Notamacropus eugenii: one gene and its partners. The protein of the gene in region 2 purifies or fractionates together with the protein of the main gene of each other region. This does not show direct contact. Links are inferred from orthologs where the notes say so. Each region holds a gene or a part of one and is shown on either strand. Other genes may lie near its edges.

What was found.
Region 1: the proteins of RAB5A (region 2) and RABGGTA purify together in Homo sapiens (affinity purification with mass spectrometry; 3 studies listed by BioGRID and IntAct, counting the BioPlex papers as one, with this or other methods). This does not show direct contact. The link is inferred for Notamacropus eugenii from reciprocal best matches to the Homo sapiens genes RAB5A and RABGGTA.
Region 3: the proteins of RAB5A (region 2) and GDI2 purify together in Homo sapiens (affinity purification with mass spectrometry; 3 studies listed by BioGRID and IntAct, counting the BioPlex papers as one, with this or other methods). This does not show direct contact. The link is inferred for Notamacropus eugenii from reciprocal best matches to the Homo sapiens genes RAB5A and GDI2.

The regions. Positions count from the first base shown.
Region 1 is NC_092878.1:9,004,861-9,015,252, forward strand, and holds the start of RABGGTA (geranylgeranyl transferase type-2 subunit alpha), read left to right. Parts: upstream 1-5,789; 5' UTR 5,790-5,925; intron 5,926-6,271; 5' UTR 6,272-6,326; coding exon of another isoform or gene 6,327-6,329; intron 6,330-6,466; 5' UTR 6,467-6,539; coding exon 6,540-6,722; intron 6,723-7,022; coding exon 7,023-7,147; intron 7,148-7,510; coding exon 7,511-7,698; intron 7,699-7,918; coding exon 7,919-8,122; intron 8,123-8,639; coding exon 8,640-8,723; intron 8,724-8,838; coding exon 8,839-8,921; intron 8,922-9,029; coding exon 9,030-9,131; intron 9,132-9,349; coding exon 9,350-9,449; intron 9,450-9,839; coding exon 9,840-9,891; intron 9,892-10,085; coding exon 10,086-10,174; intron 10,175-10,348; coding exon 10,349-10,392. UniProt on the Homo sapiens protein: Catalyzes the transfer of a geranylgeranyl moiety from geranylgeranyl diphosphate to both cysteines of Rab proteins with the C-terminal sequence -XXCC, -XCXC and -CCXX, such as RAB1A, RAB3A, RAB5A and RAB7A.
Region 2 is NC_092874.1:34,213,552-34,223,805, forward strand, and holds the start of RAB5A (ras-related protein Rab-5A), read right to left. Parts: upstream 4,642-10,254; 5' UTR 4,520-4,641; intron 3,905-4,519; 5' UTR 3,806-3,904; intron 1-3,805. Other genes in the region: EFHB (EF-hand domain-containing family member B), read left to right, coding at 4,816-5,595, 6,873-6,935, 9,908-10,048. UniProt on the Homo sapiens protein: The small GTPases Rab are key regulators of intracellular membrane trafficking, from the formation of transport vesicles to their fusion with membranes.
Region 3 is NC_092874.1:209,606,562-209,617,324, forward strand, and holds the start of GDI2 (rab GDP dissociation inhibitor beta), read right to left. Parts: upstream 4,374-10,763; 5' UTR 4,037-4,373; coding exon 3,992-4,036; intron 3,818-3,991; exon of another isoform or gene 3,188-3,817; intron 1-3,187. UniProt on the Homo sapiens protein: GDP-dissociation inhibitor preventing the GDP to GTP exchange of most Rab proteins. By keeping these small GTPases in their inactive GDP-bound form regulates intracellular membrane trafficking.

The DNA of each region.
Region 1 (10,392 bases), on a different chromosome or scaffold from region 2:
CTCAGGCAAGGAAGCATTTTATTCTGGAGGAGCCATGATTTAGGAAGGACACTGGCAAACTGGAATGTATCTAGAAAGGGGGAAATCAGGATGGTGAAGAGATTTTAAGACCATTCTATTTCTGTGGAAGGAACTGAGGGTGTGTAAGCCTAAAATGCCCCAGCAAAGACAAAAGTAGACTTCAAGTAGTTGAAAGCTTGTCATATGTCTATGCGTAGAGACAATTAGATGGTGCAGAGGACAGAGTCTGAGACATGGAGTCCGGAAGATGAGTTCAAGCTCCATCTCAGACATTTACTTAGGCATGTTAACAATCTGCAAGTCATTTATCCTTCCTCATCTGTTCGGTGGGGATTATAACAGCACCTATCTCCCAAGGTTGTGAGGATCTTATGAGATATCTGTAAATATTACAGCAAACCTTAAACCCCTATATAAATGCTAGTTATTATAATCACATGGAATAAAGATTAAATGTGTTTTACATAGCTTCAGAGGCCAGATCTAGAACCAATGGGTGGAAACTATTAAGGGACAGGGAAATTTCAGGTAAGGAAAGAACTTCTTACCTATTAGAATTGTACCAAAGTGAAATGGGATGCATTGGGTGGAGTGAGTTCCATCAGTGGAAGACTTTAGACAAAGGCTGGATGAATACTTACCAGGGATGTACTGAGAGTGTTCATGTAACAGACCTAAAGATGGCTAAGTTGGAGTCAGGGGACCCGAGTTTGAATTCTGGCTCTGCCACTTACTATCTATATGAACATGAGCAAGTTATTTCACCTCTGAAAGTCTATTTCCTCACCTGTAAATGAGATGACTAGGGCTAAGTGAATTCTAAGGGCCCTTTCATCTCTATGTCCATGACTCTAAGCTTAAGGTCATTTCAAAACCTGAGATCCTTATGATCCTAGGTTATAGGACAGTCAATAAGCAGCTCAAGAGAAAAAAGAACTTTCTAAAAATGGAATGTTGTCCATAAGTGGAAGGGGCTGCCTGATACTGTGCAGGTATGGGATCTGTTGGGGAGGAAACTCTGTTACAGGGTGTATGTAAGGTGAATTTTAGTTCAAATAAGGTGGATTTTAATATGTGTTAAAGGAAATTTTTATTATTATTTCTCAGAGTTCAGTTTCCCAGGATCCATAATCATAACAATCTCCTGTTCCCAGGTACTAGACATTAGTTCTCACAGTTATGGTTCAAAATATCTCCACCACACTTGCCCAGAGTTATATAATGGTAAATAATCTAAACCTTCACTAAGGCTGCACAGTGAGATACAGGAATGAGGTGATATAAAGTTGTGAGGCTATGTCTGTTGGCCCATAAAACAGGTGGTCACCAGACAATGAAGGGGGAACCCTTAGGGTTAAATGCACAAATGCTGTGTGTGCCTCAACTGGCCCCCATTGAGGCTTGAAGGGATTTAGGGGAAGCACGAGTTGTGCCTGTCTCAATTGCCCCCACCAAGATATAAGGATAATTGCCTCCTCTGCTTCTCCCTGGCCCCTTCGAGAAGGGGGATTAAGAAATTGATGAAGGCTGGAAGGGGGTGTGTGAGACCCCCACAAAGACCGGGGTACCAGAAGGAGGTTGTCTGGAGAAGAATTCATGGACTCAAGCATTGTTGAGGTCAAGGTAAAGATTTACTAAGCTTTTCAGCTGGCAAGAGTTCTTAAGGAATCTGCAGCCTTAAAGGGGTACAGAGAAAGTTTATATTTAGGAAATGTGCCAAATATGCTAACTAGGTGTTTTGGGGTGGGATTAAGGAATGGTCAGTTTTTAAAGAACATGCACTTTTGGTATCTACTGCGCAGGTATTTTACCCAAAACTCATCAAGAAATAGCCCAGGGGGGCTACCTAGAGGTGTGGTTTTAGGCCTGAAGCATCACTAAGTCAACCAACAGTCAGGGCTGGCTCAGAAATACCAGGTTGCTCTCATCAATGTCTTGTTAGACAAGTTAAATGTAAGGGAGTATCCGTATGTCTAAGTCCAGGATACACATGACTGGTCAGTGAGTAGTAAATGTCGTTATGACCCAGTGCACATCCTGTTCAGCCAGTACACAGCTGGCTCAGACTAATGAATTCTATAGGTACAGCTGGCTACTGTTGCAGGAAGCGAGATAACAGTTGTTGCTGGAGCAGGCTGTGTCCTTGGGCTGGGGAGAAACTGCCTGGGATAGTATTTTGAGGTTAGGGAGAAACGTGATTTTTAAAGAGAAATGGGATTTTAGAATTGGGGCCCAAGCACATGCACCCAAGCATCCCATCATAATCTGTAGGAGTTCATGCTCTAATTATCAGTGATCCTTTTCTGGGAAAACTAGACTAGAATAAAGTAGATTATTAATCCATTCTTAGTGCCTTTCTTGTCTGACCTGATCAAGAGTGAACCTGAGCTAGCAGCCCTCCTGTGTGCTGTGTTTATCTGTCTTATACGGGTAAATCCTATGATGGGGTAGGCTGTGAGGCCTGATGAAGTGGGAGAACATTTCAAACTCTAGCGAGCAGTCTGTAGCTCTGTGGCTTCAGCTCTAAGAGCCACTGCTTTTGTCTGCTGTCTAATACTGAAGACCATCCTCTTTGTGAAATTTTCCTGATGTATTTCTTTCTCTTTGCCTCATTAAAGGGGCCATACCCTGGCTACTTAAACAGGCCTATCCAATGAATGGGCATTGCCTCACCCGAAGTGAATACCTGCATAGAACTTGCCCTAAATGGGCCAAGGTCTCCCAGTGCATCCTGGGTCATCTCCAGTCATCCTGATGAATATCTGGTCACTGGATTCAGATGGCTCTGGAGGAGAAGTGAGGCTGGTGACCTGAACAGCCCTCCCTCACTCAGATCAAAGCCAAGTGCAAGTCATGTCATCATTTTTCTGATGGCATGGTCTTCTTTGGCAATGAAGGACAAACACAACTAAATGGAAAAGGCCTGTAGAATTGGCCTAGAGATGGAGTTTGGGTCTTTGGTTCAAGGGGAGGGGCTCCTCACCAAGCTAACAGCAGAGCAGTGAGTTTTTCAGCCACAGAAACTCATGAAGATCTACTCAAGTCAGAGAGGGGTTGTGATCTATGTCAGAGGAAGTAGGACCTGCACCCAATGAAGCTACTGGGTCCTTGAAATATTGGAGGAGTAGAAAGAACTCTGGCCGGGGCTGCAGGGCACAGGATCTCAGTTTGGATCCTAGCTCCACAGCTTACTAACCTGGGTGATCCTGGGCCTGAAGAAATGACTCTAACGTCCCTTCCAGCTTCAAATCCTATGATTGTAATCAGAGGCCTACAGCTAATTTCTCTTTACACTTAACCCACATCTGTGCTCACACTGGCCATAACTGCAGCATAGCCCTCTTCCATGGAATCTCCTCGGTTTCCTAATGGGCCTCAGTGCATCCTTTATCTCTCTCCCTTTTCTTCCTATATCCGGCAGAACTCATCAGGTTTGAGCATAGTTTTAATCACTGTACTGCTTAGAAGCCAGCATTAGGTCCCAGTTGATTCATGCACCACAATATCATTCTTGTTAACTCCTTTTGCCTTTAAGCAAATGATCTGTCATGGATTCCACTCCTCCTGCTTCCCAGGACACCTGATTCAGAGATAAGCAGTTCAATCTATTTTTGTCTCCTTTCGCCCACTTTCAAATCATAACATGGTTTAAATTCCCTTCCTACTGATCCTTTCCTTACGATAAAACGAACTCTACCCTCTCTCCAACACTCACCTTTTCTCTGGAGTCTTCCCTGACTAAAACTTTCCAGTTGCAGGAATGCTGATCATTCAAAAAAAAAAAAATCAGTCCCATTCATACATCTGACATCCTTTTTTCTTTCAACTTCCTTCATTACTCTAAGCGTGTACTTTTGTAGAAGCATAGTTGTGAGCATGTGTGAACCTAGTTTGTTTGATCTCTTTCCACTTAGGGCAAACAAGAGTATTTTCAAATAGGAGTACTATAGTGGATGAATGAAAAAGTATTTATTAAGTGCTTCTCATGTACCAAGCGCTATGCCAAGGATTGAGGATACAGATACAAAAGCAAACAGATCCTGTATTCAAGATGTTTACATTCTAAGGGGCAAAACAGCACGCAGGGGAGCAGCAGCCAAGAGAAGGCACTTTGCTCCAGAAAGTTGACAAGGATGGCAAGACTCAGAGGGGAATAAAGTGACATACCCCACTCAGGGACAATTGATTTGATTTATGGTTCATGGTTCTAGACTCGAAAACAGGGCTCAGGGAGGAAAGGAAAGGTACAGTACAGAGTAGTTGTAAAGGCTTAGAGGAGATGGTCCAAGTATAAGGAGTAAAGCAAAGCACCGCGGTTGGGGCTTTCCTGAAATTATCATCTGGGAGAGGCAGCCATTCACCAGGACACCAAGTGAGGGGTGGCTGATTTTGTAGGGTATCAAGGTAGTTGACAAACTGTCAAGATGGCTGGAGTAGCAAAAGAACTGGGTTTCAAGTTAGAGGATGTGGGTTTGAAAGTTCCTGCTTTACCACTTACTTGTAAGGTGACTTTGCGCAGGTCAAGTAACTTCCCTGAGCCTCAGTTTCCCTATCTGCTAAGTGAGTATCATACTCTTGCAATACCTACGTCCCAGGATTGCTGTGGAGAGCAAAGGACACCAGGGACATAAAGAGCTTTGTAAACTGTAAAGCGAAGTAGGTGTGGTTATTAACGTGACTTCTCCAGGTGCCTGGAACAAGTTACTGTATCTGCTGGTTGCAGTCAAAGGAACAGCTGAATGACTGAGGTTTCACAGGACTGTGCGAGTGTAACTGTATCAGATGTTTGATCTTGGGGAATTACAATAAAACAGAGGACTGGCAAAGGCTTGGCGCGGGGCTCGAGGGAAGCCAGCAGGTGAAGGGGAGGAGCGGGCACGGCAGGTACGGGACACGGACCGAGGAAACGTCCGGGGCCAAGCGGTGGCATGCTTTGTGTCGGAGCCGGGAAACCTGGGCTGTCTCCTAACCCCGCCTGCGTCACGTCTGGACGCGCTTCTTCGTCTGTAGGGTGGGGATAACGACACCGGCCCAGGCACAGGGCTGCAAAGAGCCGATGGAGCGCTCCGCGGACTCTAACCCGCTCCACGGGCGCCATTCACACTGACGCTCCCACGGCCTTCCCACACCTTACAGCCCTCTCCCATTTCTGACCCATCCCCCACGTGTGTCTGAGGCCTGGGGGCAGCCCGGGGCAGCAGAGAAGGCGGCTGCGGCCCACCGCGGTGCCAGCCTCCGGCCATGCCACCCTCGCCTGGTGTCTGGGTCTCCCGGCCCCGCTGCGCCGAGGAGCGGCCGCAAACCTGGACGCGCCAAGAAGGCGAAGCCAGGGGCGGGGAAGGGTCCGGCCGGGCCGCGGTCCGAGGCGGTCACCCGGCCGGGGCGCGCAGGGCGGACCCCTGACGAGCTGCGTGACCCCGGACAGGTCACTTAACTCAGTTTCCCCGGCTGTGAACGGGGGTAATGAGCGTGAGGGTCGGGTCTGTAAAACTTGGGGCTCAGAAAGCGCTACCCCCGCCTCATTTTACAGACGGAGAAACTGAGGCCCGACGGCCCAACATCCCCAAGATTCCGGGGGGTGGGGTCCGCGCCTCCAGCCGAAACTGATCCCAAAGTGGGGGGACCGGCCCGGGGCCTCGGCGGGCACGCCGCCCCGGCACTAGGTGTGCAGCCGCCCGCGGTGGGGGTGCGGAGGGGGAGCGGCCGGCGCGCTCCGAGGCCCCAGGCCGCCCGCCGGGCCTGGCCCTTTAAGAGCCGTCCCCCGCCCGCCTCCAAGGGGAGGGGCGCCGTCCTAGCCGGCCGCTCCGCCCCTCCTCGCAGGCGCGCACCTCCCGGGCCCGCTCCGCCGCCGCCGCCGCTCCCGCCGCCAGGCGTTTCCTGCGCCTCCCTCCGGACGCCCCGCAGGTGGGTTAGTTGGTCTCGCCCATGCACCAGCCCCGCAGGACCGCGGGCCTCCCTCCCCCGGGGCCGGCGGTGGCTTCGCCCTGCGGAGCGCGCCAGCTGCTGGACTGGTCCATGTGACCCAGCCCTGGGGGGGGAGCGGGGATGGGCCGGGCTCGGGTGGGACTCGGGGGCGGCGGCACACCTCGCCCCCCCCCCCCAGCTGTGCAGAGGTCTGACCCAGCCGCGTCCCTGCCTCCAGGCCTGAGCCACTTCCGGCAGGAAGGCCGGGGAGGGGGCGGACCGGGGCCAGGAGCGTGCGGGGACGATGGGGCGGAACTGCCAGATGATTGTCACCTTTTGCACCCAGGTCTTCCTCGGTCACCTGACTCTTCGCCCCACCCAGAACCCTGAGCCTCAGCAACATGGTGAGACCTCCCCCCTCCCACACACCCATTCTCCCCCTCCCTCTCTCCAATGGACCTTCCCCTGACCCTTGACCTTTCCGCTAATTTTCCTCTCCGACCCCTGACCTTTCAAACCCTTCCGGTTCCTACCGCCGAAGCTCGGAGGCGAAGCTCGGAGGGGAAGCCCGAAGCCCCCCGGCCCCTCCAGCCCCGGGCGCTTAGGAGGTGACCATGGACGGCACGGGGGATCCGGGAGGCTTCAGGATCGTAGCCGCGCCATCGCCCCCCTTCGTTTATCCGCAGCACGGCCGCCTGAAGGTGAAGACCACCGAGGAGCAGGCGGAGGCCAAGCGGCTGGAGCGCCAGCACAAGCTGAGGCTGTACCAGGAGGCCACCGAGGCCATCTTCCAGAAGGTGGAGGCCCCGCCCCGGGGGGGGGCTGTCAGAAGGGGGGGCATCATCAGAGAGTGGGGGGGTCATCTGAGAGTGAAGGGGCCGTCAGAGAGTGGGGGGGTCACCAGAATGGGGGGGTGAATCAGAGTGGGGCGCCATCTGAGAGTGAGGGGGCCATCGGAGAGTGGGGGGGCTGTCTGAGAGTGGGGGGGGCCATCGGAGGGGGGGGCCATCCGAGAGGGAGGCATCAAAGTGGGAGGCCTGGGGGGCTGAAGAGCCACCAGGACAGGACCACCCAACGGGCTGTCCCCTTGGTTGCAGCGACAGGACGGCAACCTGGATGAGTCCATCTTGGAGCTGACCAGCCAGATCCTGGGGGCGAACCCCGACTTTGCCACCCTGTGGAATTGCCGCAGGGAGGTGCTGATGCTGCTGGAGACCCAGAAGTGCGTTTCTTCCTGGGGGGGCAGGCTGGGCAGCTCGGGGGACCAGGGTGGGGGGGCCTGTTATCTTTGACACTGGGGAGTCTGGATAGGCACCCCCAGTCTGGCCCAGCGTGGTGCTCAGGCTGCCCAGAGCGATGACACCCAAGCGGAGCCGACCAGAGCTTCCCTACAGACAGAACTGGGGAGCAGGACGAGGAGAGCCAGTCTGCCCCACCCCCAAAGAAAGGGATGTCAGTGCTGGCTTCGTGGAGTAGAGTGGAGGACAACAGGGTTTGGGGGTGACAGGCAGTACCAGCAGCATGGCCTTACATGGGAGATTTAGGGGGAGACCCAGGGTTCACTGTTATCACCTTTTTGGCACAGGTCCCCTGAGGAGTTTGCCTCCCTAGTGGCAGCGGAACTTGAGTTTTTGGAGAGCTGCTTACGGGTGAACCCCAAGTCTTATGGAACCTGGCATCATCGCTGTTGGCTACTTGGCCGCCTCCCTGAACCCAACTGGACCCGTGAGCTGGAGCTGTGCGCCAAGTTTCTGGAAGCTGATGAACGTAACTGTACGTTCCCCACAAATTACCTGATTTCTTAGGCCCCAGCCCAAACCAGAAAGTTGGGATGGGACTCCTGAGCTGGTTGGTAGAGTGACAAGTGAGTAGATTTCTGCGTGTGTGATGTGTTCCCATAGGACCAAGTAGCACCCCGGATGATAGTTCTGGGAGCTAGGAGTAGGGGTGCCCCCCAATCAGCCCCGGATCTGAGATACGTTGCTATCCACAGTTCATTGCTGGGATTACCGCCGGTTTGTGGCCCAAAAGGCACCTGTGCCACCTGAAGAAGAGCTAGCTTTTACTGACAGCCTCATTACTCGGAATTTTTCCAACTACTCCTCCTGGCACTACCGATCTTGCCTCCTGCCCAAGCTGCAGCCACTGCCAGATTCTCAGCCACCAGGACGCCTTCCTGAAGACGTTCTACTACGTGGTGAGCAGGGTGTTTGGGGGCTGCAAGAATCAAATGGAAGGAAGGGAGAAATAAAGAATAGTAGGTCCCAAGATATAACCTCTAATTCATTTTCTGGTTCAGAAATTAAGAAAGGTTACAGTTATCAGGGAAGGATAGATAGAAACCTAGGGGGCTCTGGGAATTGTAGAATCAGGAAAGAGTGGAGTTCTGAGGTGAGGTCAGTCAGTCATTTTTGAGATGCCTGTTATAAGGTTAGCAATGTGCTGGGCATTGGGGGTAGGTAGTATATAGAAACAGAAAAACTACCGAGTTTACCATTTAACTAAAGAGACAAGTATGTGAAACCGTATTGAATAATTCAGAGCAACGTATATCTAAGTGTTGAATGGTGGTACAGACAGACTCTAAGGCCAGTTTGAGCGAGAGGGGGGTTGTTGCCTCCCATGAGCTAGAGGAGGGGCAGCAGAGCTTTCATGTGGAGTTAGTGAGGCCCTTGAGTCCTAATGACAACCTCCTTTTCTTATGATCCCCGGAGAGCTGGAGCTGGTACAGAATGCCTTCTTCACAGATCCCAATGACCAGAGTGCCTGGTTCTACCACAGATGGCTTCTGGGGCGAGGTGAGAGGTGGGGCCAAGGCCACAGGGAAGCTTTTGAGCTGTTTGGGCATCAGGTGAAGCGAGCTGGAACTGAATGCCACTACTTCACCTATTGTTCTTTTACCCCTGCCCACAGCTGACCCTCAGGATGCCATTCGCTGCCTCCATGTGAGCCGGAATGAGGCTTGTTTGACTGTCTGTTTCTCTCGGCCCATAATTGTGAGTTCTCAGGACATACATGAGACAAGAGGGGAAAGAAGGAGTAAGGTTGGGGGGTGGGGTGGAGATGGGGCTTATGTGTTTTCTACCTTGTGTTTTGTCACGCAGGTGGGTCCTGGCATAGAGACTATGATGCTTTTAGTGGATGAGTCTCCCCTACCTGTGGAATGGAGGACACCAGATGGCAGAAAGCGGCCCAGCTATGTCTGGGTATCCCCTTCCAGACAGACACACACACACACAGACACACACAGACACACAGACACACACACACAAACACACACACACACACACACACACACACACACACACACACACACACACACACACACACACCTCTGTCCCCCTCCCCCGCTTGATAGGTTGAGAAGTGAGGGACTGAAAAATGGATGAATTCTGTAGCATTTCCTTGACCTGGCTCATTCTAGCTGTGTGACCTGCCATCTGACTCCCTTAACGAGCAGTGCTCTCAGCATTCCTTCTTCCTGATGTGGGGTGATGTCCAGAAGGAATGCGTACTTTACAAAGGTGATGGAGCTCTCCCTCGCCCCTCCCCCTTCTCTTCAGCCACTTCACTGCCACTTCTCCAACCTCTTAGGGATGTTCTCCCTGAAAATCGTTCCCTACAGATTTCCCTAGAATATTTTATTTGACTCTCATTTGTCCTTACTACAGTCTACCTCATTCGTGTATATGTCTTAACTGCTTGCTCTGTATCTGTTAGATTGTAAATGCCTTGAGGATAGGGACTGTGCTGTCTTCTGTTTCATCTTTGTGTTTTCAGCTTCTAGGAAACTACGTTGCTTGTAATAGGTTTTTCATAAATGTGTGACCCCATGTACCCTGCCCCCATCAGATTCTTTCATTTCTCAATTCCTTCTCACAGACTCCCTTCCCTTGTCCTAATCTATTCTCTAGGTCGAAAAGAAAGTTGGTGCCGAGACTCTGCCACAGATGAGCAACTCTTCAGGTGATGGAAGAGATAAAAAGGGATCATGTCTGAGGGTTTTGTGTGTTGGGGGGGGGGGGGGTTGGAGAACCAGAGCAAAAACTAAAAACTTGGGGGCAGGCATTCCCTAGGATACTTGAGACCTTGGAGTACAGGAGGGTGAGGAAAGGTGGGTATGTGTTCCTCATCCCTCCATTACTCTGCCTGTCTGTCAGAACGGAGCTATCAGTGGAGAAGTCAACTGTGTTACAGTCGGAGCTGGAGTCCTGTAAGGAGCTGCAGGATCTGGAACCAGACAACAAATGTGAGGTCCCTCTCTACCCCCAACAGCCTGCCCCTTCAGGGAGCTCCCTCTCCTGGAGACCTTGCCTTTCCTGATGGATGGATCTTGGGCAGTGGGAAGAGTTAGACGGAGGAGGAACTAGGGATAGACTCTCTGCCCTGCTCCCTCCTCCACCACCATCATCCTCACTCTCAGGGTGTCTATTGACTATCATCCTGCTGATGCGGGCTCTGGATCCG
Region 2 (10,254 bases):
CACTAACTTTCTTTCTAAGGTCACCTCTCCTTTGTAAACACCTTTCATAATGTAAAATATAAGTCACTACAGTCATACAGATGACTTGCCTAGGATGAGTGCTGTCCAGTGACAAGCAGTATTCAGTGTTCATTTTTAGAGAATAATTACAATGATTCTGCTTATATATTGCTTTTCACATGGCTCCTCTGATTTCAACTTCCTTTCTATAGATAGCTTATTAAATTTGACACCTTTTCCTCTTTGCAAAGCTGTTCTCATGAATAGATTTTAGGGAGAACATGAATGAGGGGGAGAAATGACATCTGTATTTATGCTAACCTCTACCTCAAATTTTAAAAAATTAATTTCCTTTGATTATTTAAAACCATTATTTGAGATGGTGTCCACAGGCTTCACTGGTCAGCCAAAGAAATCCATGATGCAAAAAGGCTTAGACCACCTGAAATAGGAAATTATTGCAATATTCCAGGCTTCTTGTAATGAAAGGATGAACTTGTTATGAGAGAGTTAGAGGTGGAATGGTGGAGAGAATCTTACTGGCAAGCATGTCTTCTAAAGATTAATGATGTGCCTCTACAGGGATTGTAAATCAGCAGTACTGAGGCAATGGTTTATCATTCTGAGCACAACAATAAAAAGTTCTGCTGTGTTTCCAGGGCATGTGTCTTAGATATGACCAAGAAATTCTCAAGGTCAGAAACCTGTCTGCAGGGGTAAGGAGGATACCAGCGCACCCCAGGGAAATATTACCATTGGCCCTTGTCCTGGACTACAGGCAGTATATGTCAGGGGCAGAATTTGAACCCAGGTTCCACTGACTTTGAGAATAGCTCTCTGTTCAAAGCTTCTCAGCTTAATCACAGCTTAAAATATACAAAGGACAATCACAGTGCACTTAGAGCTGGTAAAAATGTTAATTGCCTAATGTCTTTCAAGTCTAATGAAAAGGTCTTCAAACTGAAAAAGAAGGTAAAGGAAGAAAACAACTTAGATATATCCCCAAATTAGATATTGTATATAGCTATGACACAGCAAGATTAGAACTAAAGATAGCCCAAAATTCATACAAGATAAAACAACAAAAGCAATAGCCATAAATATCTGTAGAAAAGTATGTAAAATAAGGTGAATTAGAACTTATAATACAAGGAGGCAAATTTGACATCATAGTAATCATTGAATTGGTGGAATGAGACCCTTGACTGAAATATGTCTCTGAATGGATATATACCTTATTCAAAAGGAAACAGGTAAGATTGAATAGGTAATGGGCTGGGGGAAGAGTAATACTGTATAGTATGAAGCTATATTCACTTTTACTTTCTGTGGACTCATTCCCTAATGGCTAACATACTTTCAGTGTCTCCTACTCTCTCCATCTCTATGTTGAACCCCTGGTTACTGAAGAACAAACCCTACCGCTTAACATCACCTGCCTTATCCCTCATTCCCATCCCCTTCAACTCTACATCCCAATATCCCTTCCAGATTTGACCACCCCTTCATTTTTCCTCTCTGGTATATCTATCTGGTCCATAATGCTTTCATCTTAAATCCCCCACTTTCATATTAAAGTTCTCAGGTCCTTAATCAAGTGAACTTCCATGATGTGTTCTTACATTTCACCTCAGCATTGGAGTGCTCATACCTTTGATCTTATCATCCATAAGTCTTCTACTTCCATGTTCAAGAACTCTGAATGTGCTTTATCTGATGATAATTTTTTATCTTTCTATCTCTTCCTATCCCTTATTTTCATCTTAAAATCTATATATCTTCTATTCTGAACTTAACAAACTGTAAATAAAATGGGCAATTCCATATAGAAGAAGAGAAAGAGGAACGTATGTCAGTCTTCAAATGTGTTATATACAACTTTCCTCTCTTTTTTAATAATTAATTTAACATGTTACTTTTAAAGCTATCCTGCAGCTATGTGATTCTGTCTTCTTTTGTACATTCAGAAGTGCTTCAGTGACCTTTTCTCTTTTGGGGGGTGAAAGGGAAGATGCTATCCTATCCCTAGTCTCTTACTCCCTTCCACCCAACCCCAAACTGGAAAAAAAAAAAAAGAGAAATAAAAGCCTTGTAACAAAATTTGCAGTCAACCAAAACACATCCCCACATTGGCCTTGTCCAATTTGTCATCCTGAATCTTGAATCCCTCACCTCTCTATCAGGAAGTGGGTAATGCGTTTCATCTTAGGTCCTCTGAAGGTTGGTCATTGCATTGGCCGTAGTTCGTTTTTTAAAATTGTTTTTCTTTGCAGTGTTGTTGTTTTTGTATAAATTGTAATACTGGTTCCACTTACTTCACTCTGAATCATGCCCATCTTCCAGGTTTCTCAGAAAATGTCCCTTTCATCATTTCTTATGGTGCTATTTCACTACATTCACATATCATAATTTGTCTGGTTATTCCCTAGTTGATGGGTCCTCCCTTTGTTCCCAGTTTTTTGATATAACTAAAGAAGCTGCTATAATTATTTTTGCATATATGGATCATTTTCATCTTTCTTTGATCCCTTTGGATTATAGATCTAGTAGTAGTGTTGGTTTTCAAACTCATTTTTCCTCTCTTGGTTTTCTTCTTACCTGTTTGACTGTTAGTTCTCAGTCTTTTGATGGATTTTAATCTATGTCACTCACACTAACTGTGGGTGTGTCACAAATCTCTGTTCTCCATTGTTTTTCTCTCCATAGTCTTTTGTTGTTGGTCTCATCTATTTCCATGGGTTTAATTATCTCCAAGCAGATGATTCCCAGATCTCCTGAGCTCCAGTTCTGCATCACCAACACTTTGTTGGACATTTCAAATGGGATATACACCTTCCTTCCTTCCTTCCTTCCTTCCTTCCTTCCTTCCTTCCTTCCTTCCTTCCTCCCTCCCTTCCTCCCTCCCTCTCTCTTTCTCTCTTCCTTTAATTTTTTTTTACAATAGCTTTCTACTTGGTCTCCTTTCCTTAAGTCTCTCTTCATTCCAAACTCTTTGCACCTGCTAAAGGGATTTTCCTAAAACATAGATCTGACCACATCACCTTCTAATCATTAGACTCCAGTAGCTTACTGTCATCTCCCAGAATTAAATATTATAAAGTCCTTTGTTTGGCATTTAAAGCTTTTATGACCTGGCACCTTCCCACTTTTTCAGTCTTAAGCACTGTAATGAACTCTGCAACTCATATTTACTGATGCACATGCTGTTACTCAAACACAAGACATTCCATGTTCATTCTTCCCACTTTTGTCCTTGCTGTTCCCCATGCCTTCCTGCCCTGGTATGCCCTCCCTCCCTCCCTTTGACTCTTAGAATCCCTGGCTGCAATTAAGACTCAAGTCAAATTCCACTTCTTTAGGAGTCCTAGCAGCCCCAGCTGCTTGTGCCTTCATCTCTAATGGGCACTTCACCTATTCTCTGTGTGTCTTATATGTAGGTAGTCATTTATATAGTCTCTCCCATTAAAATATAAGTTTCTTGAGAGCAGGAACTGTTTTTGCTTTTTCTTTGTAACTTTTTAGCACTTAGCACAATGCCTAGCACATGGTAATAAATGTTCATTGGCGTGATGGGGACAATTTCTGGGCAAAGATAAAGTGAGGTAGAAGTAATTCTATCATAGGAATATATCACAGACCATCTGAAAAGAATGAGGGAAAAGACAAGGCCTTTAGGGAGTATTAGATGGCTGACATGGAGGTATGACATGTAGTGATGGAAGACTTCAGTTATCTAGACATCTACCAGAACTTTCTGCCCACAGCAGAACATCTAAGCATGCCTTCTAAGCATTTTCTACCTTACCTTTTCATTACAATATGACAATTTCAAACCAGGTCTTCAGACTCCAAATATGGTACCTTTTTCATGGGTGGGAAGCTTGTTCTTTCAGGTCTGGAATCCCTAATGCAAAGGAAATGTATACTAGCTTTATAAAAATGTAGATGCAAATTTAGCATCCTATCCTGTGATTTCTCCCCTCCCATACTGGAAAAGGTGAAGAACTAACCTTCACCAATAAGGAAAACTGATTGTTGGAATGTAATAGAACTGGAGAAGAGATCTGGGTATAGTCTGACATATACCTTAGATTCTGGGAAAGCAGATTTCAATGAGTTCAGGTGAGTTTAGCTGGGAGAGATGGGAAGTTCTCAAAAATGAAATTCTGGAGATATAAACAATTCCAATTAAGAGAAAAAAGAAGGGTTGCTTAAAAAGCTATGCTCCTAAGTGACACCTTTACTCTCTCTAATAGAATCAAAACTATCTGTAACAGGTAGTGAATTGTAGTGCATAAAAGCACTACCCTCGGAAGTCAGGAAGACCTGGTTTTAAATCTAATCTTAGACACTTACTAGCCGTATGATCCTGCTTGCAAGTCACTTAACCACTTTGTGCCTCACTTTCCTCATCTGTAAAATAAAGGGGTTGGGCTTCACTGCCCAAAAATGTCCCTTCCAGTTCTACAGCTTTGATTCAATAGCCCCATATGTTAGATAAGTCATAAGGTGTCGGCACCTTTCCAAGCTCTGTCTCCTTCAGAGGAGAGAAACAGGAACTCAGAGACATCCTGTCCCTGCAGCCGGCAGCCGGCGGGGAGCAGGTAGGTAACTTGCTCCCTTTCCTCTCGAAACCAAAACCTCACAATGGGTCCAGAGCGAGGGGAGAAAGGAGACCTGGCCCGAGGGGGCGGGGCACCCCACGGCCCTCCCCCGTTCCCTAGGTAACCAGTTTAAACAGTTACTCTCCCTTAGTCTCTGGGTCATTTGGTGCGGCCCAGGATTGGAGGGGAGTCCAGACCTGAGACTGCGATCATGGTGCCCCCATCAGACTCCGCGGAGACAGGGAGCCCCCGGGAGAAGGAGGTCTCCGAGGTCTTGAATACCCCCCCGGGAAAAAGGCCGGTTCTCAGCCCAGGGCAAGGCTGCCTCATGGGCTCCGTTAATACCCCGCGGTTGATGTCACTGAAGCTCTCACCTCCTTTGGGCCCCAAGGCCCACCCTATACCGTCTTCGAAATGCTGCGTGGAGGGGCGTAACTGGCCGTACTTGGATAAAGGCGGGGGGCAGTACCGGGAGCTGCACTCTGCGGGGCTTCGCTGCCCCAACCGCCCCAGCCTCCTGGGGGACATGCTGCCCTCAGCGGAGACAGATGCTGCCCTGGGCATGAAGAGTGGTTTGGGATTATCAACCCGGCCCCCCACGGCCAGGTACAGCGAGAGGGACCCGGAGGATCTGCGGAAAATGCGGGAGAAGCTGGCCGCGCAAGCCCCATTCTGTCCGCAGCCCAACATGGGCTTAGTGAACGAGCTCGCAGAGAAAATCTTTTGCCCCGAGAATTTGGGAGCCCCCGAGGAGGAGGAGCCCTTGGGCAGCCCGGAGACTGGACTGCCCAGTAGGGTGATGTGTAACCTGGAGCCCGAGAGCAGGGACCCCATAGGGTTGGTGATAGAGCCGCCAACTTACGACTTCGGGACCAAGCCCGAAGGAGCTCCCCAGCTTCCAAAGGATTTGGAACCCGGAGTGGAGCAGCCAGATAAGCCGAGACCCATTTATTTTGGGAAATTTATTGACCGTAATCCTGCCTTGCCATGTGTGAGTTCTGAGTCCTCTTTCACACCTATACTTTTCTAACTCACTCCTTCCCCTTACCTTTCTCTGGGACCAGTGGTGTACTTAATATGACAACTAAATTAGAACACTGGCTTCCGATTGCGGTTTATGGACACCAGTTATTATTTTGTAGAAACTTTCTATGTTACTCCTTTGCCCCCACATTGGATCTCTGTTTCCTTGGATGCTAACATGATCCATGATTTCCTTAGTAGGGTATAGTCTCTTCGCTGTTGCAGATATCAACCTCTCTATTTCATTTTTGCCCATGTCCTCTCATAATCTCTCCAGGAAGGAGTTACTGGGTGTGTTAGAGTCTTTTCTTTCATCTATGAACCTTTTGAAAGCACTAGCACAACACTTAGGTTCTTTCTGCTATCCCTGACTCTGACTACATGAAGAATCTGCCTCTTCCAATCACATATTTCTTTTGATGATATGCTTTATTAAAGCTCCATAATACACCTTTTGAATGTTGTCTTTCTACTGATCACCCATTTTTGAATGTCTTTGTTCTCCTTAAAATACCCACTAAAGGCTTTTCTCTCTCCAATTCACCCTATTGGATATTTACTTTCCCACTCCTCATTTTCTCAGCATTTTCTCCCCATGTTTCTGAGCTGCCTTTCCCCCATGTCATGCTAATGTTCTCCCTTTTTTTTTCCAGCCCCACTGGTGTGTAGTAGGACATATTTAAGTCTAACCAAAGGAAAAATAGTGTTCACATTGTTAGAGCTCTGGCTCTAGAATCCTGCAGTAGCGTTTGGGTTCAAATACCATCTCTAATGCTCACCTCCTTCATGACCTTGGTCAAGTTCCTAAACCTCCCTGGGCTTCCCTTTTCTCATCTGTAAGGTGAGGAGGTTGAACTCCATGGTCCCTTCCAGTTCTATGGTCCTAAAGCAAAAATCCATTCTGGACCCAAGAAAGTGATTGAAGAGATTCTACTTTTCCATTCATTGTTTATTTTGAGATTGAAGAGATTCTACTTTTCCATTCATTGTTTATTTTGAGATTATTATTAGTGACATTATAGTCTCCTTTTCAGGGGATATGATATGACTTGATTCTATGAAGATATACTAGTATATATGTGTATGTATACATTTGTTTCATTTTATTTTTTACTTTACTTGGGATTGTAATTCACTTGAAAACACAGGCCCAGGCCAAGTTCCAAAGTCACTTTCATCCCTAACTGTGCTGATCCTTTTAGTTTTCATCTCTTACTTTTTTACCTTTTTTTTTTTCTTCTTTAGGCAGGGAAGCTTATTCCAGTTGGAGACAGAGCTGAAACCTGTTTAACTGAAAAATGGCCTCCAGTGAGTATTGTCAATAGATACTTGCTTATTTCTTTGCCTTAGATAGGACCTTCAAGACAATTTAGTTAACTCTTTGTATTCTCCCTTAAGCTTATATAAAATGGGTATTGGAAATATTTAGAGGCTTTCCTCTTCTAACAGTTTGGTGAGAGGTGAAAGTGATATGAGGCTTCCAAATATACTAGAATTCAAGGTGTAATGGGAAAAAGCACTGGAGGGAGGCCTGCATTCTAGTTCTGGCACAAACTACTTAACCTTTTAGGACTTAAATTGATTTATCTACCAAATAAAAGGATGGAATTAAGTAGGGGTGGGGAACCTGCAGCCTCGAGGCCACATATAGCCTTCTGAGTCCTCAAGTATGACCCTATGACTCAATCCAAAGGGTCATACCTGAGGACCTATATTTGTTCTGTGAAGTTTGGATTCAGTCAAAGGGTCACACTTGAGGACCTAGAGGGCCACATGTGACCTCCAGTCCACAGAATCTCTACCCCTGGATTAGAGCGTTGTTAAATTCCTACCCAAATCCAAACTACTGTAAGCCAATGACCTATAGTGGCAGTCCCAGTGTAATGGAAAGAGAAGGAAGATGGAAGAGAAAAAGCATTTTATTAAGTACCTAGGAACAGTGTTAAGTGCTTTACAAATATTAGTCAAAAGACCTCATAGGGATCAAGTCTGACTCTTGAGGCCTCTAACTGTATTATGTTGGGCTAGTCATAATTTATCTGACCTTCACTTAAAAAATGCAAATTATAATGTTTTCAATACCATCTCAAGGGACTATAATCCAGAAAGCTGGATACTAATGCCAGCTCTTGATAGTAACCATTACTAAGTAAATTCATGCCAGCTAGAAGAAATCTAATAGTATTTTGTCCTTTGAGATGCTAGTGCCTTTTGAATATTGATTTTCTAAATGCTGCTAATATAATTTGTTTACATGAGAGGTAAAGGGGAGACAAATTGTTAATTGATTTTCAGTAGGATTTTTCAGATGAACTACAACTGATTAGTTCTGTTTGTAGAAGTTAGCAAGGAACACTAAGAAACCACACAGATTCTGGAATCAGAGGACCTGAGTTCAAATCCTGCTTCCAATGGTTACTGCCTGAGTGACTAGACAAATCACCATTCTCTGGGCCTCAGTTTAATCCTTTGGAAGATGAGGGGATTGAGCTAGCTGTGCTCTGAGGTTCCTTCCTGATGGGAATATGTGATCTCATGAGTTCATGATTTCAATAATTGCATTACAAATTTTTTTTTTTTTTTGGTAATGTGACACTACGGATAGAGAGCTGGCCTTGGCTTTAGGTATATTTGGTTTCATGTCTTGCCTCTGACACATACTGATGGTAATCTCCACTTGAAACCTTGACTTGCATATCTGTATGTTCTTGTATTTTTCACTCTCTTGATCATATGCCTCTCACTGCAAAAAGAGGGGCTTGTATTACATGGCCTTTAAGCTCCTATGTTTGATACTTAACAGAAAAAGTTAACACTAAAAATAATTAATTCTATAACTTTTTCTCATAAACAGATTACATACACGTATTATACATAGTATGTATACTATATATAGTATAAGCTCTAAATATATAGTATATATGAACTATAAATATATAGCGTATACTCATACAGACTGTAATATACAATGTTTTGTTCTGGACTTCATTGTGTTTAAGTAGACTCAAAGGGAGTGCAATAGTAAATTAATATTATTGTTAAAAAGCTGTGTTGATGCCTTTTGTTTTCAAACCATTTTCCTCCATCATCCTTGTCTCCCTGTCACAAATTAAAACACCTAACCAAAATCATTTTTGGAAAGATGATAAGTAGTTCTATTTCTGTCGAGTTTGCTGTATAGGTTTGAATTCTAGTAGAGACTTAGATCAGAGCAGTCAGAGATGTGGGGCTGCAGCTTGGGAAAGGCTTGCCTTAGGAAGTGGCAGAGAAAGAAGTGGCCCAGGAGGACGTAATTAGAGAGCAGGTATGGTCAGAGAGTTAGGGGAAGAATCTGGCTAATGTAGATCTAGGCAGCCAAGCAAAGAGAGAGTTTTCTGTTTAGTTCAGACAACATTTAGTTCAAACAACCAACTATGTTGAGGACATTGAACAAGGCTAGGAAATAGGAAATGGGAAATAATGGGAAGAAATACCTGATCTGGAGTCAGAAGGCCTCATGTTTATGCCTTGGTTCTGGGTTTTACTGTTTTTGTGAGATTGGGCACTGAACTTTGCCAAGCCTCAATTTCATCACCTGTGAAATGGAACTAACCATATTTGTATTAAACTATAAGTTGTGGAACAGTTCTGAATAGCAATTGGTTAAGGGGATTTCCTCACCAGGGAATTCCCAAACCAATAAAATCATTTGGCCAGTTAAAAAAAATGTACTCCTTACCTCATAAGGTCACTGTAAAAAAAGTATTTTGTAAATCTTTAAAGTGATTAGTAGGAATGATTTTAGAAGCCAGGATCCTTGCCTCATAGAGCTTACTGCTTCAAGGAGAAGGATGTGATCAATGGTTTCATACTTCAGGTCAAGGGAGATGATGAGAGGAGAAAGTTGTTGGATTTGGCCAGTTGGACACCCCTTGACAATCTTACAGACTTGAGAGAGTTTTAATACAACAGTGGTTTTAAAGACTAAGAAGTGAGATGACTGATGAAAAGGTGAGATAGCTGGCATATTCTGCAATTCTTTCAAGGGATTTTGTGGCAAAACAATAATGGGAGAAAGTCAAAGGGTACAGGATGCCATTAGGTTTCTTTTTAGGCTAGAAGGGACCTGAGCATGTTTGTAGATAAAGAGAGAGGATCCACTGAAGGAAAAGAGATGGAAGAATCAACCAAAACTTTTGTTTATGGTTATACACAGACACTAGAGTTACAGAGTTCTATTATTATGAACTATGAGTTTACAGTTTTTTTCATTATAATAATTCTCTTTCTCTCTCTCTCAGCCTTTGACTCCACCCACTGAGAGAAAATTTTATAAATCCAGATATCCAGATACTGGTACTAAGAGGATATTTTATGGCAGAGCAAATGATCCTGATGTTTCTCATTTGACACATGGTAAAAAAAGGGATAAGTCAATGAAGGTACTTTTCTTTCCTGTTAATTCTCAACTTTTGAAGTGGAAAATATAGAAATAATGGATCTATGAAATTCAGGCACTGGTTTTAAACCTTTCCACTTGTCCTACTTCTATAATGATGTTTTCCATTCATCCTCTGAAAAAGATATTAATCTTGAGCAGTAAAAAAGTCCCAAAGTAAACAGATAAGGAATTATAGAGAAATGTGTT
Region 3 (10,763 bases), about 180 Mb from region 2:
CTAAGGTACCTTTTAGTGATTAAATTGTTGTACAGGCCTAGGGAAACAAAAGGGAACTCTAATGATATAACAGCAATACAGTAAATTTCCTTCCAACCTACAGTGAAACAAAATTAATGGCATTCTATAGTACTTAATCTGCCAACTACAAAAGGTTGACTAATAAAACAATAGAAACTGCATTTGACTTATTAATAATGTTAAAATAATGTTAAAAATGACCAAACAAGGGACCTCATAAGTCGCGTAAGTCTAACACCTACCCAAATCATAAATCCAGCTTTATAACATTCCAACATCTCCAATGACAGGAATATAAAGATAGAGATGGGAAGTGGACTTGTGATTTCACTGGTAAAGGTTAACTTCTTTCTAGGTGAGGAAATTTCCTCTACCAATGCAGGCTGGCACTGTCTCTGAACTTACAGCCTAAAAGAGCTGCCTAGAGCCCTGAGAGGCTGAGTTACTTGCCAGGGGTCACACAGCCATTCAGTGTGAAAGGCAGAAGCCAGGTCTTCTTGACTTTGAAGAATGCTCTCTCTCCATTTCACCATGCTATGAGAATAGCAAAGCATTCTAATTTTAGGTAACTTTCATCATTAGGATTTTTATGTTTAGGACTAAGCAGAACAAGCCTAATGTCTTTTATCTATATGAATATCTTTAAATATTTAAAGATTTCTAACACATATAAGCCCTAAATCTTTTCTTCAGACTAAACACTCCCAACCTAGAGCCTTTCACAGCCTGACTCCAACCTACTTTTCCAGTCTTATAATACATTGCTCTCCTTCAAACACACTATGGTTAAACCTGATTATCTTGATATTCTTCAAACAAGACACCCCATTTTGGTGCCATGAACAAGCTTTCCTCCATGCCTAGATTGTACTTTCCTCATCTCTAGTTCTTAGAATTCTGAGTTTTGTTCAAAGCTCTGCTCAAATATCACCTTCAATGTCTTTCCCCAATTCCCCTAGCTCCTAACATCTAGCACAGGGGTGGGGAACCTACAACCTTGAAGCCACATGTGAAACCTTGAAGCCCTCAAGTATGGCCTTTTGACAGAATCCAAACTTCAGATTCAAGTCAAAGGGCTGTAGTTGAGGATCTAGACTTGGATCCAAAGGGCCACACTTGAGGACTAAGAGGGCCACATGTGGCTCCCAGGCTGCAGGTTGCCACCCCTGCGCTAGCACTTCCCTAAATTACCTTCTATTTATTTTGCATGACCTTATATATGTGTGTTGTACCTATTATCTCCTCCTATAAAATGTAAGGGGCAGCTAAATGAGGCATAGCTGACAGTCAAGAAAACTCATTTCCTGAGTTCAAATATGGCCTCAGACACTTATTGGCTGTGTGACCCTGGGCAAGTCACTTAACCCTGTTTCCTTCAGTTTCCTCATTTGTGTAATGAGCTGGAAAAGGAAATGACAAACCATTCCATTATCTTTGCCAAGAAAACCCCAAATGGGGGTCACAAAAAGTTAGACACAACTAAAAATGACTGAACAACAATAAAATGTAAACTCCTTGAAGTGAGCACAATATATTTAATTTTTATCTTTGTAGTTCCAGACTCTTAATACAAAAGATGCATCTCAGGCATTTTCATATTCCTATTTGAAGATCATATTAACCCTGTGAGGTAAAAATTACAGGTATAATTTTTACAGTTTACAGAGAACACTGGAACTCAGTGAACTGCTTGATGGTGACACAACTTGTAAATGTCAGTCAGGATTCAAAACCAAATCTCTCCTGACTCCAAATCCAAAGCATTTTCCAAATCTAATTACCCTCACACTAAAAGTAAATGACTTTAGTCTGGCATGTTTTTTGATGAACCCATGCTGACTCTTGCCTACCCTTTTAAGTGAAAAACACTGAAAATCCACAACCACAGAGCAAAATAAAGGTTTGTGCAAGAAACTAAGTCCAAAATGATGGACTTAGTACTATGCACTTGCTACCTGATCTAACCCACCACAACTGTGTACAAGTTTGCTTTCTTTAAAGGTCTGGTCGTTTCCCAATATACCACACAGAGATTCAACTCAATCTCTAAAATTCAAAAATCATTAAAAAGATTTTTCCGATAAATAATTTCATAATTGGTACCCCTTTTTTCAATCCCCATGATAGCTACAGTTTGCAACTTTAGTTTGTCTGATCCACTGTGATGGAGAGGAATACAAATACAAAAAATCAATATAAATATTAAAGTGATAGACTGAAAAACAATACATTAATTTTTAGTAACTATTTTGTAAATGGTTAACCAATCAAATGAAAACTGAAAATTGTCCTTTTAACATCAATCAAAAGTGATTAATACTGGTATATGAGTATGTCTTCTAGAGGATACCCGAAAACCAAAATACATTCAAATATTGCTTACTGATTATAAAACAAAAGCGAGGTTCAAATCAATTCCACTCTGTCCTCCAACACTGCTTTTCTTATGAATACTAATTTGTTCATCCAGTCAACAAATATTTATTTAGCTTAAAATAAACTGTAAAATGATATGTAACAGAGAGAATTTATTTACTTTTTCTGTATTTTTTTTTTTTTTGCTGAGTTAAGTTACCCCAAAGTATGAACAATTAGGAAATTCAATAAAATAGGCCAAGGTCACAGAAAAGCCTTTTATTGATATCTTTCTATTGTAGCATTCATGGGATCCTAATTATCCAACTTAAAATGTTTTTAAAAAGAGCCATAATCTTTTGAGAAAAATATGCAATAATGGGAATGCTAAAATATGAAGTATATTCAACTCTGGTGGGAAAAAAGACAACATAGGAGTCCTTAAAGGACGTACCTAAAAGCACATTTTTGTCCCCTTCCTCCACACAAACCATTTAAATTAGGCAAAGCCATTCATGGAGTAAAGAAAGCACTCACATAGACATATACTGATTTTTCTTCTAAGTCCCCTAAGAAGCTGTCATGGGGTTATCTGTGCCTTTTACTATTCATTAACCCACATCTTAGTAGAAAAGAGAAAAGACCAAATAGAAGAAAACGAGAAAAAAAAAATCAACAGCAAGTCTTTCTCATTTCTCGCCTGTAAACGTGCAGTAAGAAAGGCATCCCCAAAACACCAGAGTGAGAAGGGGGGCAACTAGATTCTGCCAAACCCCACAAACTCGGCGCAGCATTTTGGCCCCCATTAGACCTTTTCAGAATTCGCTGACCATCGCTTCTCACATCATGCAGTGCCCTTTGCCTGCTCACTGCTGCAGGGGAGTGAATTTTAGTCACTGAAGGAACCATTTCCACCCTGCCTCCCGTCCGGAGAGGTCATCAACCCAAAGGGGGAAAAAGTCACAAGAGGCTTGGAATTCAGTTTAGTTACAATTATTCGAGTCTCCTCTCCTTTGCAGGAAGCAGGCCGTTTAATTCCAGACCTCTTCCTCCGCTTCACTGATTTAAACCATTTCCTGGACCCTCCTACAAAAGGGGCAGGGGAGGCTGCCACGAGGACGTGGGGACACGGTCACTTATGCTCCTCTGAGCGTCCTCGTCCCCAACTGCCGAAAACCTTAAGTGTCCGGGGCAGCCTTTCCCAAAAGCTCATCATCTGAAGGAAAAAGCTGCCAGATCCAAGAGCTCCGCGATCACAGGACAAGCAGCCCCCTCCAGGGGTCCTTCAATACGGAAGGACAGAGACGCCAATCAAACCGTAGCTCCGGGTACGTGTGCGCGTGTCGGATCCAACGGCGCCGACACGGCCAAATAAATAAAAGCAGGAAGCTGGAGGAAGCGGGCGTTAGAAGGCGCGGCGGGGGCCGCGGTCCGCGGGCCCGAGCCGCACCACGCGCGCTCCCGACAGGGGAGCCCCTCTCCCTCCCTGCCCCCCTCGCTGCTCACGCCCTCCGGGAGCGAAGCCTCCTCCCCTCCCCCGCTGCGGGCGGTCACGGCCTGCCCCCACCCCCAGCGGGCCAACCTCCTCCCCTCCCCTCCCCCTCCCCGTCCTCACCGTGAGGCCGGTGCCCAGCACGATCACGTCGTACTCCTCATTCATGGCGGGAGTCAGAGGATGAAAGGGGAAGAGAGAAAAAAAAAAGGGGAGGCGGGTCAAGAGCTAGAAAGGGAGAAAAAACAAGCCAAAAGCAGCGAGTAGCGAAGCCCCACGCGCCGTCCGGCGAGCGCAGAAAGAAGATATAAAATGGAGCACGGAGGAGGAGAAACCGCCCACTGCCACAGAGGAGAGAAGAGGAGCGAGGGCTGCGGGAAGAGTAAGCAGGAGGAGCCTAGCAGGAAAGGGGGCGGGGCGGCCGCTGCAGCCTAGGGGGCGGACTCTGGAGGAGAGAGCGGCTCCTGGTTGCTGTCAATCACGGGCCTTCCGCTTCTCTTGCCGCGCTCTCATTGGCTGAGCCGGGCTCGTTCGTTACTGTACTTCCCTTTTCACTCCACGCGAGAGGGAGGCGGCACCGGGCGAGGCTTGAGCTCCTCCTTTTCCGAATCTCTTCCTCTCTCCATACTCCCGCCCTCCCCGTTTCAAGCTCTGCTTGCTGGAGGGATTAGCGTGGTGGGTGTGGGAAAAGGCGGAGATGGCCCGCCAGTGGGCCGGGGCCTGACGCTTGGTTTAGCGCCCGGGCCCTCAGGGACAGGGCGGGGCAGCGCTGCGCTGGCATCTGGCAGCGGCCCCAATGGTCTGGCTGTGGCCCCTGCAGCGGCTGCTCGCCCTTGGACTCTGAGCTCCCCTTTGTTTCTAAGTCCCCTCTTGGACTCGGGGGGAGGGGAGGAAAGGATGCACCGGGTGATGGGGACAAACCTGGCAACTGTGACCTTGGGAGGATTGCTTCGTTCTCCTTTTTTTTAAATGAAAGGTTTGACTCGGAGGATAGCTGCCAGTGCAGCGTGATGGAAGGCAATAGGGCGCTGGAGGAGCCGGTGAAGTGGACAGATTGGGCAGCAGACTGCAGCCCAGGATCCTCGGTTCTGTTATGTGACTCCCTCCCTGCTTCAAAGTGCAAAGTCCCTTACTCTGCCTGTCCCAGGAAGAGTAGGAGAAACAGCAAATGTGCATTTCAAAGGAAAAATTTTTTAAATCTTTTGTAAAAAAGGCAGCGGGTCTCATATAAAAACAGGCTCTTCAGTTTAAATTGATATAATCTAGAATGATTTTCTATAAAAATAAGCAGTTGTAGTAGAGTAGGCAACTCTGCAGTTTAAAAGAAATTTAACATCCTCTACTTGCCTTTGGGGTTTTTTTTTTTTTAATTTGGTTTTCATGGCAGACTTTCCCTCTTGCAAGAAGTATCTGCATAGGCAGAGAAATTCTCAATTTACAGACCTACGAAGCTATAAAGTGATGTTGGAAGAAGCTGATGGAACTAATGGAATCAGAAGAGTGACTTTCTGAAAACTTACCTTGGATAATTTGGTTGCCGACTGGTCCATGACAAATTTTTGTGTTTTACTCTCAACTGGGTCCTCACTATGGCAATGCAATCAATTTTTTTTACATTTTCCTATTGGTTTCACTATCCCACTCACCATTATAGCTTTTCCAGACGTTTTCTTCCCGTCTCAAACTTCCCATCTTCCCCTAGACTCTCAACTGAAAACCTAGCTTCATATTTTGAAGAAAAAGTTGAGGCCATTTACTGTGAGCGTCTCTCTTCTGTCTTCTTCATATCACTCAGATGCTTTCTGCCACAAACTCCCCTTCCGACCTGTCCCACCGGAAGACTTACCAAGGCAAATGCCTTTACCTGCATAAGCAATCCAGTTCCATCTCCAACATGGTGCCCCACCCTAACCCTACCCGTCCAGTTATTTTCAGTCTCTCCCTGTCTACTGGCAGTTTTCCAGCTGCTTGCCCATATCTTCCTCATCCTCAAAAAACCCTCATTTGAGCTAACCATACCAGTTAGCCAACATCCTATATTTCTTCTCCTTTTTGTGACTAAACTCCTTGAAGAAGCCATTTATAATCAGTCCTTTAATTCTTTTCCTTTGAATTTCTTTTTAATTCTGCAATCCGGTTTTTTACCAGAATCAGTTTTTGAACTGACACTGCTGTCTCCAAGAGTACCACTAATCTCTTAATTTCCAGGTTTAACGACCTTTTCTCAAACCTTCTTGCCTCTGCAGCTTCTGAGACTATTGATGACCCACTTCATCTTAATACTCTCTTCTTTCTAGGTTTTCCTTATAGTGTTCTTTCCTGGATCTCTTCTTTCCTATGTCATAGCTCCTACTCAATTTCCTTTGCTGCATCTTCACTCAGGTCATGCCCACTAACTATGAATATCTCTCTCAAAACCTCTGTTTTGGGGCCAAGAAGATTTCCTCTAAACTGCTTCTCTTGGTGATCTCATCAGTTCCCATATCATCTCTCTACAGATAATTCTCAGAGATATTTATCCAGCCCTGATGTCTCTCCTGACCTCCTGTCTTATATCTCCAATTGCCCTTTGGATATCTCAAATTCTGTGGGTTTCTTAGACATTTTAAACTCAACATGTCCAAAAATGAACTCCATCTGTCCCCGCAAAATTCTCTTAATTTCCCCGTTACTGTCAAAGATACCACTATCCTCCCAGTTATTCAAGCTTGAATTCTTGACTCCTTACTCTCTGGCTGATGTTACTGCCCAGGGGAACTTCTGTGTTTTGGAATAACTACCTCACCTAAGTGGTCTTCAGCCTATACCCACCTGAAATCATTATCCCTCATAGACAATCTTAGGGCAAGGAGTTTGTTCCTGCCAACCAGTATCTCCATTATCATGCACTTGACTGCCCAGGTCAGATGTCTGACCACCCAGAAATCATGCTCGTGATGAATTAATACCATTCTAGGAAGGGGAAGATCCCTCTATTCCAGTGGTTTCCTGCATCTAGTCTCCAGAGATTTACCTGATAAGAATGGACTGCTTTTGGACATAGTTCTAGCTGTCCTTCTGCTTTCTTGCCCAGCACAAAGTGGCATGAGTCTTGTGGTCCTTGCCCTGTCAGAGGGCTCTGAATGTCCTGGAGAAATAGCTTAGGTCCCTCTCAACAGGACAGCTAGGTGGTACAGTGGATAGAGTGCCAGACCTGGAGTCAGGAAGACTCATCTCCCTGAGTTCAAATTTGGCCTCAGATACTGTGTGACGTTGGGCAAGTCACATGTTTGCCTCAGTTTCCTTATTTATAAAATGAGCTGGAAAAGGAAATGACAAACCATTATCTTTGCCGAGAAAACCTAAATGGGGTCACAGAGTTGGAGACAATTCAAACAACTGAACAACAACTTCCCTCCCGACTGGTAGATATTCTTTCCTCTGGGGTGCTTTTGACAACACCTAAGGGGAAAAGTAGGTGGTATTGCTGAAAGGTGCCTTGCTATATATCTGACAGGACAAAGTTGTCCCTTATAACAGTTTTGCCTCAGTTTCCCTGACATGACTTCTGGATCATTTGGGGCATAAAAAGTCCCACCCATTTGAAGTCTGAGACTCTTAGACTTGGTGAGTGCCTAAGATCTTGCAAGTCACTAAACCCTGGACAGATGGTATACTGAACAGACTCATTTCCAGATGAAGACAAAAGGAAAGTGCAAGAAGCTGTGTCATTTCTTCCTTGTTGCATGTTCTTGCTCTGTTAATTCTTTGTTAAATGTTCAGTGACTTAGGATGCCTCATTTCATCCCAACACTGGACCTGCACCACCAGCAGGTCCACTAGCTGCACCTACAATAGTGAATGTATATTTACTTGGAGGAAAGGAATTTTTTATCATCTACAAAAAGGATGTTTGCATCCCCAGCACTTAGTACAGTGCCTGGCACTGGTAGGTACTTAATAAATGTGTATTGACTATCTTCTACCTCATGCTTTTCACACCTGATCTCCAGCCGCAGGTGAGAAGAGGAATGACCTCCCTCTGACCACATCTTCCATCTAATGCTGGCCAGGCCTGATTTCCAGGCTTAGATTCCTAGGGGCTATCTGGAGGAGACTTCCATTTGCACCAGCACAAGGTAACTTCTACCTTCTGCTCCACCTGTTAGCCTGTTCACCCACCTCCCTTCATATGTGAAGAAGAGAACGCTTCCCCCTGACCTCAGGTCTTCCATCTCCTGCTGTGCCTCTCTACTGAGGAAAGAGGAAGAGGAAAATTTCATTTGCTGGATCTTCATCCAGATCACGTCCTCGAGCAGTATGTGTCCCACTGTACTATGGGGCTCCATCCTGGGCTCTCTTATACTGTTGTAGTATTTCAGTTGGTGATCTCATCAGATCCCATGAATTTAATTATCTTTATGCTAATAATTCTCAAATCTATTTATCTAGCCTTAACCTCTCTGGTGATCTCCATTCTATCTCCTGTCTTTCAGACATCTCATACTAGATACCTAGTAGACGTCTTAAGCTAAACATGTCCAAAACTAAACCCATTATCTTTCTCCCAAACCCTTCCCTTTTCTTAACTTCCCTATTACTATAGAAGATAACACCATTTTCCCAATCCCCTAGGCTTACAACCTAGGTATCATTCTTGAGTCCTCACTACTTCTCACCCTCTAAATCCAATTGGTTGCCACGGCCAGTCAATTTCACATTTGCAGCATCTCTCAAATATATGCCCCCTTTTCCAGTGCAGGCCCTCATCACTTCACACCTGGATTATTGCAATAACTTTGTGGTAGATTTACCTGCCTCAAGTCTCTTCTCACTTCATTTCATCCTCCAGTCACCAAAGTGGTTTTCCTAAAGCACAGGTTCAATCAACCATGTCACTCCTCAACTCAAATTCTAGTGGCTTCCTAGGATAAAATATGAAATTCTCTGGTATTCAAAGCCATTCATAACCTAGCATAGCTCTCCTTCTCCGCATCCCCCCCTCCCTAATTTCTTATCTCTGGCCATTTTCTCTGACTGTTCCCCATGCCTGGAATGCTTCCCCTCCTCATGTTCACCTCCTGGAATTTTCAAATTCCCCTGGCTTTCTTCAAATCTTAACTAGAATCCTACCTTCTAAAAGAAGTCTTTCCCACCCCTTCTAAATTCCAATGCTTTCTGTAATGCCTATTTATCCTATTTATATAGCTTACTTGTATATAGATTTTGAGTTCCTTGAGGGAAAGAACTGTCCTTTTGCTTCTTTTTGTATTCCCAGTTCTTACCACAGTACCTGGCACCCAGCAGACACTTAATAAATGTTTATTGACTAATTAACTGACTGACGGATCTTAATGTGGTTCCCAGGAAGGGGGAGTTTTTAGCATGTGTGCCAGGGAATATTGAGTTAGGTGGGCGGTGCTATGGGGGAAAGTCTGGGTATCAAGCTAGTCCTGGACAGGTTTTATGAGAGAAGTTTATTATCTCTTAATCACTTTCTATGGATAACTGACATGTGATGAAGAATTATTAGCTATGCCAGAAGCGTCATCATCAGTGCTGTGTCCCTGATGTTCTTATCATTCTCACACATCATTACAATGGGAGAAGAGTCTGTGTGTGACTGTATTGGAAGTTTCATCATCTGTCCCATGTTCCTAATGGTATTGTTTCTAGTCATCAGCTGCAACATGTGACTCACAGTGAACTGCAAATGTTTGGAATTACCCAGATCTTTGAGATCTGAGATTTGGTCCTTCTGAAGTGAATAGGGAAAGTCAAAGATTTCTTGCATTTTTTTTTCTTTTTCTCTATGGTAACTTTTGTGGGGGGGAGGGGTGATGGGGGGAGGGAGAGGCATTAATTTCTTTTGTTATTGTTCTGTGTGTTTTGTTTTGACTTTAAAAAATTTTTCTTTTTCTTTCTTTTTTCTTCCTCTTCCTCCTCTTAGTACTACTCCTATTTTTTCATTAAAAGCACAAAAAGCATTCAAATGGTAGAAGGACCTCTAGAACAGAGGTGTCAAACATGCAGTCCACAGGCTTCATGCAGTCCAGAACACTCCCAAGTGGGGTCCAAACCAGATTAAAATGTAATTGAGAAATATTTAACAAAAATATATAAAAATACAATAAAACATATATAATATTGCAGTTTAAAACTGAGTTGATTTTCAGCCCACAGGTTTAGTGACCCCTGTTTCTATTTGAGCTTAACACCATTACTCTAGAAAAGGGCTTCTTAAATGTTTTCCACTCATGACCTGAGAAATTTTTATGTGACATATAGGTATATAAAATAAGATACACTTACTGATCACATCAAACATTTCTGACAAACATTTATTTGATAATAAATCATAAAAAATTTATTTTAAAACAATTCTTTGCAAAACATATAATTTTACTATTTATTAAAGATGAACAAATTTGCATACTAATGGGATGATGTGCTTGTTTGTTTTTACATAAATAATTAAATTTTTGCAGAATATTTGATACTGCAGGAGGTAGAGCATTTTCAACATTTTTCAGAGTTGATGGATATTTTTGATTTTATAATCCTCAGTGCTGAGAATGCTACTTCACATAAATACATAATACAAAATAGCAAAAGCATGTTTAGGACCATTTTAGAAATTGTTAGAGATTTTGTCGTAATCCCAAACCAAAATTCATTCAATGATTTTTTTGAGAGAACTCAAGTTTTAAACCTGTGGCCACTTGGTAACTCAGTAAATTCTTCTTGAACTTTCAGTGGCAGATGACTTACATTTTTATTTCATTTGAGTACAGTTTATGAACTCAACTTAGTTTTTTAAAGTCACAGTTTGAAGGGAAGTATTTCAAAACTGTGTCTCTAGACATTTCAGATGATCAGTTATAACTCACAATTAAATCTTTGGAAAAGTTATTTT